2 linked regions of the Mus musculus genome follow. The protein of the gene in region 1 interacts with the protein of each later gene in a pairwise test. Links are inferred from orthologs where the notes say so. Each region holds a gene or a part of one and is shown in the gene's direction. Other genes may lie near its edges.

Evidence for each region.
Region 2: the proteins of Apip (region 1) and Pdzd4 interact in a two-hybrid assay, tested with the Homo sapiens proteins (2 studies listed by BioGRID and IntAct). The two-hybrid records come from large-scale screens. The link is inferred for Mus musculus from reciprocal best matches to the Homo sapiens genes APIP and PDZD4.

Annotation. Positions count from the first base shown.
Region 1 is NC_000068.7:103,072,415-103,076,747, forward strand, and holds the start of Apip (methylthioribulose-1-phosphate dehydratase), read left to right. Parts: upstream 1-1,260; 5' UTR 1,261-1,373; coding exon 1,374-1,427; intron 1,428-4,333. Other genes in the region: Pdhx (pyruvate dehydrogenase protein X component, mitochondrial), read right to left, coding at 876-1,035. UniProt on the Homo sapiens protein: Catalyzes the dehydration of methylthioribulose-1-phosphate (MTRu-1-P) into 2,3-diketo-5-methylthiopentyl-1-phosphate (DK-MTP-1-P).
Region 2 is NC_000086.7:73,821,985-73,826,542, reverse strand, and holds the start of Pdzd4 (PDZ domain-containing protein 4), read left to right. Parts: upstream 1-1,573; 5' UTR 1,574-2,201; coding exon 2,202-2,261; intron 2,262-4,558.

The DNA of each region.
Region 1 (4,333 bases):
TCTTTAGAAATCTCAGCACACGGATTTTATTGTTTTTCTTTTTCTTTTTTTTTGTTTTGTTTTGTGGCCTCAGACAGCTCAGAAAGTGTGGGCTAGGCCTACTGTACCAGGTGGTGGTAAGAATGATTACTTAAATGTCTAATGGTTTCTAAAACTGTTTTCTGTGCCCCCATCCTAACCCCCAGCCCATATTCATACACGTAAGGAAGAATAATGCCAGGTCTGCCATTTTATATGCTGTATGTTAAATAACGGAAGGACAGTGGGTATATCTCCGAGTTCAATATCACTGCTTAAGAACAATTTTATGTAATAGGCTGTATGAATTTCATGCCACATATTTTACTTGAAACATTCTAGCAATGTCTGTGATTCTGTATTTTCTAAGTTAAGTCTTGTATGCTGCATACATTAAGTGCAGTAAGATTTAAAGTTTTCCAATAGGGACAGGTCCTTTGAATGAATCAGTATGGGTAATAGTGGCTTTGAATGTATGGGCAGCTATATTACATTAGAGAGGAATGGTAAAATTAAAGAAATTTGACATGTGATTGATAAGGGTCTAAAATAGAGGGATTTAAAACAGACCCTCCCTAGGTGACATCGAAATTTCTCAAATTCTAAAGCAAGGTCACAGAGAAGCCATGTAGCCCTGAAGGCAGGCCAAGGACGGAACCATGCTCTCCCAAGTCTGAAGACAGTTCTTTTGCCGCATGCCATAGGCTAAGTCAGCAGGCCCGTTTCTGGGGGAGGTTGAAAGGAACAGGAAGAGTCCGCACTTAACCTCACAAACCGTGTCCCCAATCAAGAAAGCCCCTGACCCAGGCCCCATTGCTCAGCTAAAGAGAGAAGTGGAGCGAGCGCAAGCCACTCACCCTGCAGCAGCTGAGTACTGTGAAACCACCTCCAACTTGCTCCACGGTCGACAGGCCAAGCAGCAGCACCCTGAGCCAGTCCCAGGCTTCGACGGCTGCTAAATCCCAGAAGGTACCGAAGCAGCGGCTGGTTACAGTGAAGCCTCCAGGAGGCCGCCATCTTCCCGGCTTTCTCCGGGAAAGCTCGCAAGTCAACTAGATTGGCGGCCTCAAGGCCCGTCCAGGCCCCGCCTTGCATGGGCTGGCCCCGCCCACAGCGCACGCTCCCCGCCTTGGACTGGAGGACTAGTCCTTCTAACACCGCCTCCAACCTTCACGGGCACGCCCACCGGCCGGTTTGCGCCGCCGCAGATTCTCCAAAGGGACGAGGTCCCCCTCAGACTCCGCCTCTCACTCTTGCTCCGCCCCCAGGCTGCCCGCTCTGTCGCCTAATAGCGTTCTGCCGGCCGCTCAGACTTGGAACGAGCGCGGGACAGATAACGGAGCAGAGTCAGAACCATGTCTGGCTGTCAAGCTCAAGGAGACTGTTGCTCGCGGCCGTGTGGCGCGCAGGTAAGGACGGCGGTCTACAGCAGGCGAGGTGGGGTCACGGGCCGCGGGGTGGGGCTTCGGCCAGGAGCTCTAGGCGGCTAATTCCTAACCCAGTCCGCGAAAGTCAGAGGCCCCTCTGTGCTAGTAGGACTGCTCTACCGGAATTGTCAGGCACCCCAAAGGGCACTCTTTTGGGCAGTTGTCCTTGCCTATCTTACTTGACGTTATGAGGTGGGAGCTCTTGGAAATGATTCTTCTTTAAGGAAAATGGGCCCTGGGGCAACATGGGTTTTCTTTCAGTTAAACAGGACGCAGGCTTATGAAATGCCTTCTAGTGCTAAGAAAATGGTGAACTAGCGAACTAGAAGAATAAACAGCTTCGATACTAACTGATAAGCCCTGCAGAAGACTCAGGGGAAGTCCACAAAATTATATCTTTACTAACCTTTCGTCTAGCCAAGGGGTCTCAATTTAAAATAAAACAGGAAATATTTAATGCAGAGCATCTGAACTATTATTGTCTTGGAATAAGTGGCTTTTCACAAATTCTTTATAAACCTTGAAATTAGGCACGACTGAAAGGGAGATTTTGCATATAGGACACAGGTCCCTGGTGGCCATCCCTATATATGGAGAACGAGGAAAGTAGAAGCAATGTATCAGAATCAAGGTGCATTGATAGCAGACATGTTTGTCATCCCTTATTAGTAAATCTTGGTGACGGTCATCATAGAAATACAGATTTTTTTTTCATACTAAGTGTTGTGCCAGATCAGCAAAATAACCTGTGATTCAAGAGCTGTGATTGAATTTATCAAGACAGAAAATAGCCACATACAAAAAAGAAGCTGAAGATGTTTTTCAAGTATAGAAGGAGAAGTGGGTGGTTTCAGATGGTGATTTGTCAAAGACTTTTGAATACCTAGCATTTTAGATTGGCCCATATTTTGAGGAAACCACAAAGAAAACTCTAGGACCACCATATACCTCAACTAGAGATCTCATTACATGTCTCTAGCCTCTTCTTGCTGTTTGGAGGTATAGACGCAGTGTCAAATTCTGCTTTTTTGAGGGACACTTAGAAAGTCATATTCTGTGTGAAATTTCCTGATTCAAAAATGTTGGCTTGAGTTCTAAGTGTTGTGCAGATCAAATAAACGACTTTGGTCTGTGTTGGGGGGTGGGGGGTCACTATTGCTGTGGTGAAACACCATGACCAAAGAAAGCAACTTGGGGAGGAAAGGGTTTATGTTGCTTCTACTTCTACTTCACTGCTCATCATAGAAGGAAGTCCGGACAGGAGTACAGGCGAGCAGGAACCTGGAGGCAGGAACTGATACAGATGCATAGAGGGGTGCTGCTTACTGGCTTGCTCCCTCTGGCTTGCTCAGCCTGAACTCAGGACCACCAGTTCAGGGTGGCACCACTTACAACGAGCAGAGTCCTCCCTCATCAATCACTGTGAAACTCCTCTATAGGCATGCCTTCAGCCCATCTCATGGAGGCATTTTTTTTCAACCGAAGTTTCTGCCTCTCAGATGACCACAGCTTGTGCCCAGTTGACATAAAACTAGCCAACGTGAACCCCTTACTACTTTTTTTTTTTTTGTTAACGTATATGTATCCTTTAAGACTTAACTATGTGTTACCTGATTGGAAGGCTTCCCCAACAGTGAACAAAACAACCCAGCACAGTCCACAAGATATCAGTTTGAACCGTTTGATATTAGCCTTTTCTTAATGTAAGAAATACGGTCTTAGTGCACCCAGTGTTTATTGAGCAGAGCGCTATGGTATATGGTATATGGTATATGGTATATGGTATATGGTATTGTATAACTTACAAGAACATGTCTCTTGTTCCTTAGAAAACCATGCCTTGGGGGAAAACCCGGGAAGGCTTGCTTGTTTGCTGGCTTTTGATTTTTTTTAATTTTGCCTCATGTATCATGGCGTTCTATTTATAGTGACGAAAGTTCGATTTGGTTCGGTCTGACTCAGTTTGCCCTATGTGTTAGAGATTAGTATTAAGTTATTAACAACACACAGAGCACAGCAAGGATTTTGAACAAAGGTAAGTTCCAGAAGACACAGCAGGATTCTTCCCCCTCTTGCAGGTTTCTGAGAAACACAGATAGGAGGCCCATGTAGTTCATGAGTCGTAGGTGTTTGTAGTCAGTTTGCCTCTGGGTCCCTGGACTGAGGAAAGGGAAAACATTTGTGCCTTTATGACTATAGAATCACAGCAGCCTGCTTGTCATTTCACTATAGCAGTCACTGCAGGGCATCTGCCAGCAACTAGGACCTGGAGGCAGAGGCAGCTTCAATACTCTTTCCATCTACAGTATAATTTCAAAGTAAAAGAGTAGGGGTTTATAGCCGTATTGCCTGGGTTCAAATCCTGGCCCTGCTGTCAGTTATCAGGTAGACAAGTTAATCTTTTGGTATGATAGGGCTGGTATAAGGTAAAGTTGTCCATACAGCTTTAACAGTAGTGCCTGACCCACAACAAGCACTTGGCAATTCCTGTTGTTGATAGATCATACTTACTGGCATTCAGACATGCATACATACTTTGTTCTTCCTCTTGTTTAGGCTATTACCTTTCTGTTTTCCTGATCTCAGTTTCTGTTTCCTAGCAGAAGAGAACCTATTTATTAGGCTGTAGCTCTCCTATGTCTTCCATCTCTTCTTGTCTTCTAAGTCTGCCTCATAGCATAGGCTATCATTTGGATATGAGTATCCGCAAAGTCCTATATGATAAAGGCTTTTCACCCAGTTTTCGTACCATTTGGAAGTAGAAGCTCCTGTACACGATGGGGACAATCGAGAGAGTCTTATGTCATCGGGCATGTGACCCCAGAAGGCAGGGAACACCCTATGTACCTTCTTTATCTTTTGCTTCGTGGCCATTAGGTGAGCCATGG
Region 2 (4,558 bases), on another chromosome or scaffold:
AGCCTCCATGGAAGCCATACCCTTTTGTAGAGGAAGAAATGGCCAATCCTGCTAGGTAGGTAGTAATAGCTCATACCTTTAATTCCAGCACTTGGGAGGCAGAGCAGGAGGATCTCTGAGTTGGAGGCCAAACTGATCTACAGAGCAAGTTTCAGGACAGTTATAGCTACATAGAGAAACCCTGTCTTGAAAAAAGAAAGAAAGAAAGAAAGAAAGAAAGAAAGAAAGAAAGAAAGAAAGGAAGGAAGAAAGGAAGGAAGGAAGGAAGGAAGGAAGGAAGGAAGGAAGGAAGGAAGAAAGACTTGTGCTAAGTTCTGTGGGCTAGGCTGGGGGAAAATGTTTTTGATGACTGGTCAGGACCTTGGTGAAATACATACAATTAGAAGGTAAAAAGATTTGGAGAGGATATTTCTAAGAGACTGCTCTTGAAGTAAGGTGATCTAGATCTTATGCTGTAGGCATGAGGAAGCTCAAATTACAGGGCAGAGGGGGCTGTTGTGGCAGTAACCATGGTGGAAGGACTAGGGTCCATCTCCTCTCCCCGGGGCTGATCTAAACACAGTGCCTCCCATCCACAGACATTTGTACTGAGCTCTCAAAAAGGGTATTCCTCAGGAAGATCTACTGGTCATCTCCTGAAAGGCTCAAGTTTTGCTTTCTGGGAAAGACAGTTTATAAGCACTCATACTTCCTTTCTGGATTTCAGGTTATTCCTATTTCTGTCTTTTGAACCAAAGTGGGGGTGGAAAGGAAAAGTATTGAAGCAGCCTCCCCCAATACTGTTAATTAAACATTTCTATGCTGTTATAAATCCCCTCACTCGCCAGAGCCTGGAGATAAAGACCAGACAATTTTATCAAAGGATCTTCTGCAGGTAAGAGGGCTAAGCAGCTCTCTCAGGCAGCCTCTGGGAACCTAGCTTTCAATCGGTCATTGTTATCTAGCCAAAGGCCATCTTTTCCTCTGGTTTATCAAGAAGAGGGGCAGCCTGTGGGAGGGAAGAGGCTAAAGGAGAAGTGTGAGGAGGGAAGGCTGGAACTGAGAAACAGACAGCGGTTTCAGTGCAAGCAAGGGGGGTGCCCATAAAGGCCCCAAAGAATGAGGCTTCTCTGTAGTTCTCTTGCCACCTACAGCACCCCCACGTTTTTCTTCTAAACAAAGGTATCCGTTTCAGAGATAGCAAGGGAATGGCTCAGTTAAAGCAGGGAACCAGTCTTTAAAGAGAGACAGAGGAAGGAGTACAGACATTGGGGCTGATACATTTAGAACCTGGGAAAGGGGTGAAATAGCCTCTCCTTGAGACCAAGGCCCTGAACTCTCTTCAGGAGTCCAGGGAAGCTTCTTCTTCAGACAGGATCCTCTTTTCTCAGGGACACACCTAGCAGACAGGTCCACTAGACACCTCGCCCTCGGACATTGGCATTATCTGGTCTCAGGGACTCAGGCCCCGCCCTCAGCTCCCTGCGCCGACTCCTGAGGCCCCCTGCCGCTCCCGCCCGCACCCAGCCTCTGCTTCTCCCACGCGCGTGCGCCCCTTCTCCGCACACCTCCCCCGCTGTTGCTGCGGGCGCGCGCGCGCGCGTTCCGGTGTTCCAGGCAGGAGCTGGAGACAAGCGACCGGCTGTGGGCCAGGCTCTGAGAGAGCGCCGTGAGCTAGAGAAGCGGGACCCTGCGAGGCTACAGCTGGCGTGGGCCTGGCCGCCTCTCCGTCGGCGGGCCGGGCCACGTCGCCAAGCCCAGAGGCTGGACTCCCGGGGCTGATGGCCATGGGCGGGAGCTGGAGACGACAGCGGCAAAGGCAGCGGCAGCGGCCGGCCCCGCGGGCGGGGAGCCGTGTGGCCCACGGCCCCTGACAGCCCCTGACGGCCCCGGCGGGCAGGCGCGCTCCCGCGCCTCCTGGGGTGGGGGGGCCGTAGCCAGGCAACGCCCGGCGCGCCCGCCCATCCCCCGCCGCCCTTTTTTTCCCCTGGCTGGGTGCGAAGGAGCATGCCTGTGTCTGGCCTCGGCCAGCAAAGAGTTAAGTCGAGAGGCTTGGAGCTGCCTTCCTCTTGGGGGCGTGCCCCCCTCCCCCGCTAGGCGGCTCGGCCCCCCGGGGTAAGGTATGGCCCCGGGCCCAGGCCCGGGACCCGTGGTCCCACGCACTGGCCAGTGAAAGATACCTTCCTCTTCCCGCTCTCCTCTTTCCCTCGCCGGCCAGCATCATGGGATGTAATATGTGTGTGGTCCAGAAACCGGAGGAGCAGTACAAAGTGATGCTTCAGGTAGGGCGCCTGGGCTGCTGGGGAGAGGGTCGCAGCCGGACCTAGGAAAACTGTAAACCCCGAGGGGGAGGGCCAGGTAGAGTCAAGAAAGGCAGGTGTGGGAGGGCGAGAGGGCTCGAGAGAAAAAGGTAGGGAGCTGATCTCGCCCTCAGATTATGGGTTGCTGGGTGCTGGCGCCCTGTGGGAACCATCCAGGGATGGAAGGAACTGGGTGAAGAAGATATGTAGGTGTTCAAGGCACATCACCTGGCACTCCGAGTGCGTAACGACCACTAACCATGTGTCCAGATCAGCCCAGGTGGGAAGTTAAGATTCTGTCCCGGGACAGTGAGGCGCTCAGTGGCCCGCGCGGGATGGAGGTTGCATAGCAACGGTCTGGATTCCCGGCACATGGTCCCAGGGTTGGAGCCTGACCCAAAGAAGCAGTGAAGTGCCTGCGGGACAGAGGCCGAATCCCGGGCCTGGCAGGCCAGATTTAAAACGTCGTCAATGGAGCTGGGTTTGAGTACCCATTTTCCCATCCACTCTCTAGACTAAGTCACGACTGTCGATTTCAGGGCCTCAGGCATTTTGGGTGAGTGGGTGACGCGGGGATCGATCGGTGGTGCCCAGCACGTGCTCTGCCTGTTGGCATCCGCTTTGGCCTGTTGGGCCTTGAGGACAAGGAGGGTGTTGAGAGCGACGCGTGCGGGGCGGCAGGAGATACCCTGCTGCCCGCTTGCACCTTGAGCCACCTTCTCAGCCACGAGTGGGGTTTCCTTGCCTGTGCGTGGCGTGACTACGTGAGTGCGTGCCTGTGCCCCGTCTGTGTGTGCGCCGAGGCTTGCCAGCCCCGCGCGTCTATACTTTCTGTGTGTGCACCCTGAGAGTACTTTAGTGAAATGTGTCCAGGATGATGTGCACTGAAATATACTAGGGCTGAGTGTAGAGAAAAGAGGGAGTCGGGACCAGGAGCCAAAGTGGGAGCAGACAGGTGAGTCTAGTGACTTGTGCCCCAGCTATTGAACTTGTTGATCAGAACCAGGGAATTAGTGCGCGCAGGTGTTGGCTGGGGGAGAACCTGTAGGTTCCTGGATGAATAGAGGAAAAACCTTCAGGAACGTGGCGGGAGTAGAAGGGGAGATTGTGTCAATCATAGTAGTGTAGTGGTATTGAGGTGGCCTCGGGAGCCCAAAATTTTTGCTGTGATCTTACCTTCTCTATTAGAAAGAATAAGAGGTAATGTGCAAGAGAGGGTGGGCATGGAGGGCCAGGTTGGGGGTGGTCTTGTCCAAGCCTGCTGGCGTTTCTGGTCTTCTCTATTTGACTATGTGTGGTCTCCTGTTGTCTGCACAAAGCCAAACAGACCACATCAGTGTTGTTTCTCCTCTCTTGTTCCTACTGTTTGAAGTTCTCACCTGCTCAATGCCACACCTATTGGAATAAGACTCTGAAATTAAGCCGGGCAGTGGTGGCAAACGCCTTTAATCCCAGCATTTGGGAGCCAGAGGATTTCTGAGTTCAAGGCCAGCCTGGTCTAGAGAGTGAGTTACAGGACAGCTAGGACTACAGAAAAATCCTGTCTCGAAAAACAAAAAGCAAAACAAAACAAAAAAAGAGCCGGACAGTGGTGTTGCACGCCCTTAATCCGGGAGGCAGAGGCAGGTGGATTTCTGAGTTCGAGGCCAGCCTGGCCTACAGTGTGAGTTCCAGGACAGCCAGGGCTATACAGAAAAACCCTGTCTCAAAAACAAACAAACAATCTGAAATTACCTAGCTCTGGGTACCAACAAAATAGGTTCAGCAGAACCCATTGGATTTCAAAACTAGGACTGCCTCCATTGAGGTTTCAATGGGCAGGAAGGCTGAGGTGACCCTAGGTAAGAGAGTCCCTGTGTTCAGCTCCCATGGGATGCTACTTTTTTAAAGTTTGGACACAAACTTTCATTTTCCTGGTTCTCCTTGACCCAATTAGAGACCAGATGTTTTTTAAAGGAAGAACTATCCTTTCAAATAAAGTAAAAACAAAAGGAATGAATATAGAAACAATATATGGAAAACAATGAGATCTATCAGGTAGCCTGAATGAATAGCTTATGGGAGATGAATACTCATATAGGCCTCAAGGAGAGTTTCCTTCAGAGCAGAAGGCAATTTTTGCTTTAAAACCCAGGTAGTTTTCAGAATTAATGAATTCTGCTTCCTAAGATCCTTAAACATGTGTACTTCCTCCATATTGAGTACTCTTCTCCCTGCCTCTCTCTTTCTTAAATGTATTTGCCTTTATTTTATGTGCATTGGCATCCCACCTGCTTGCA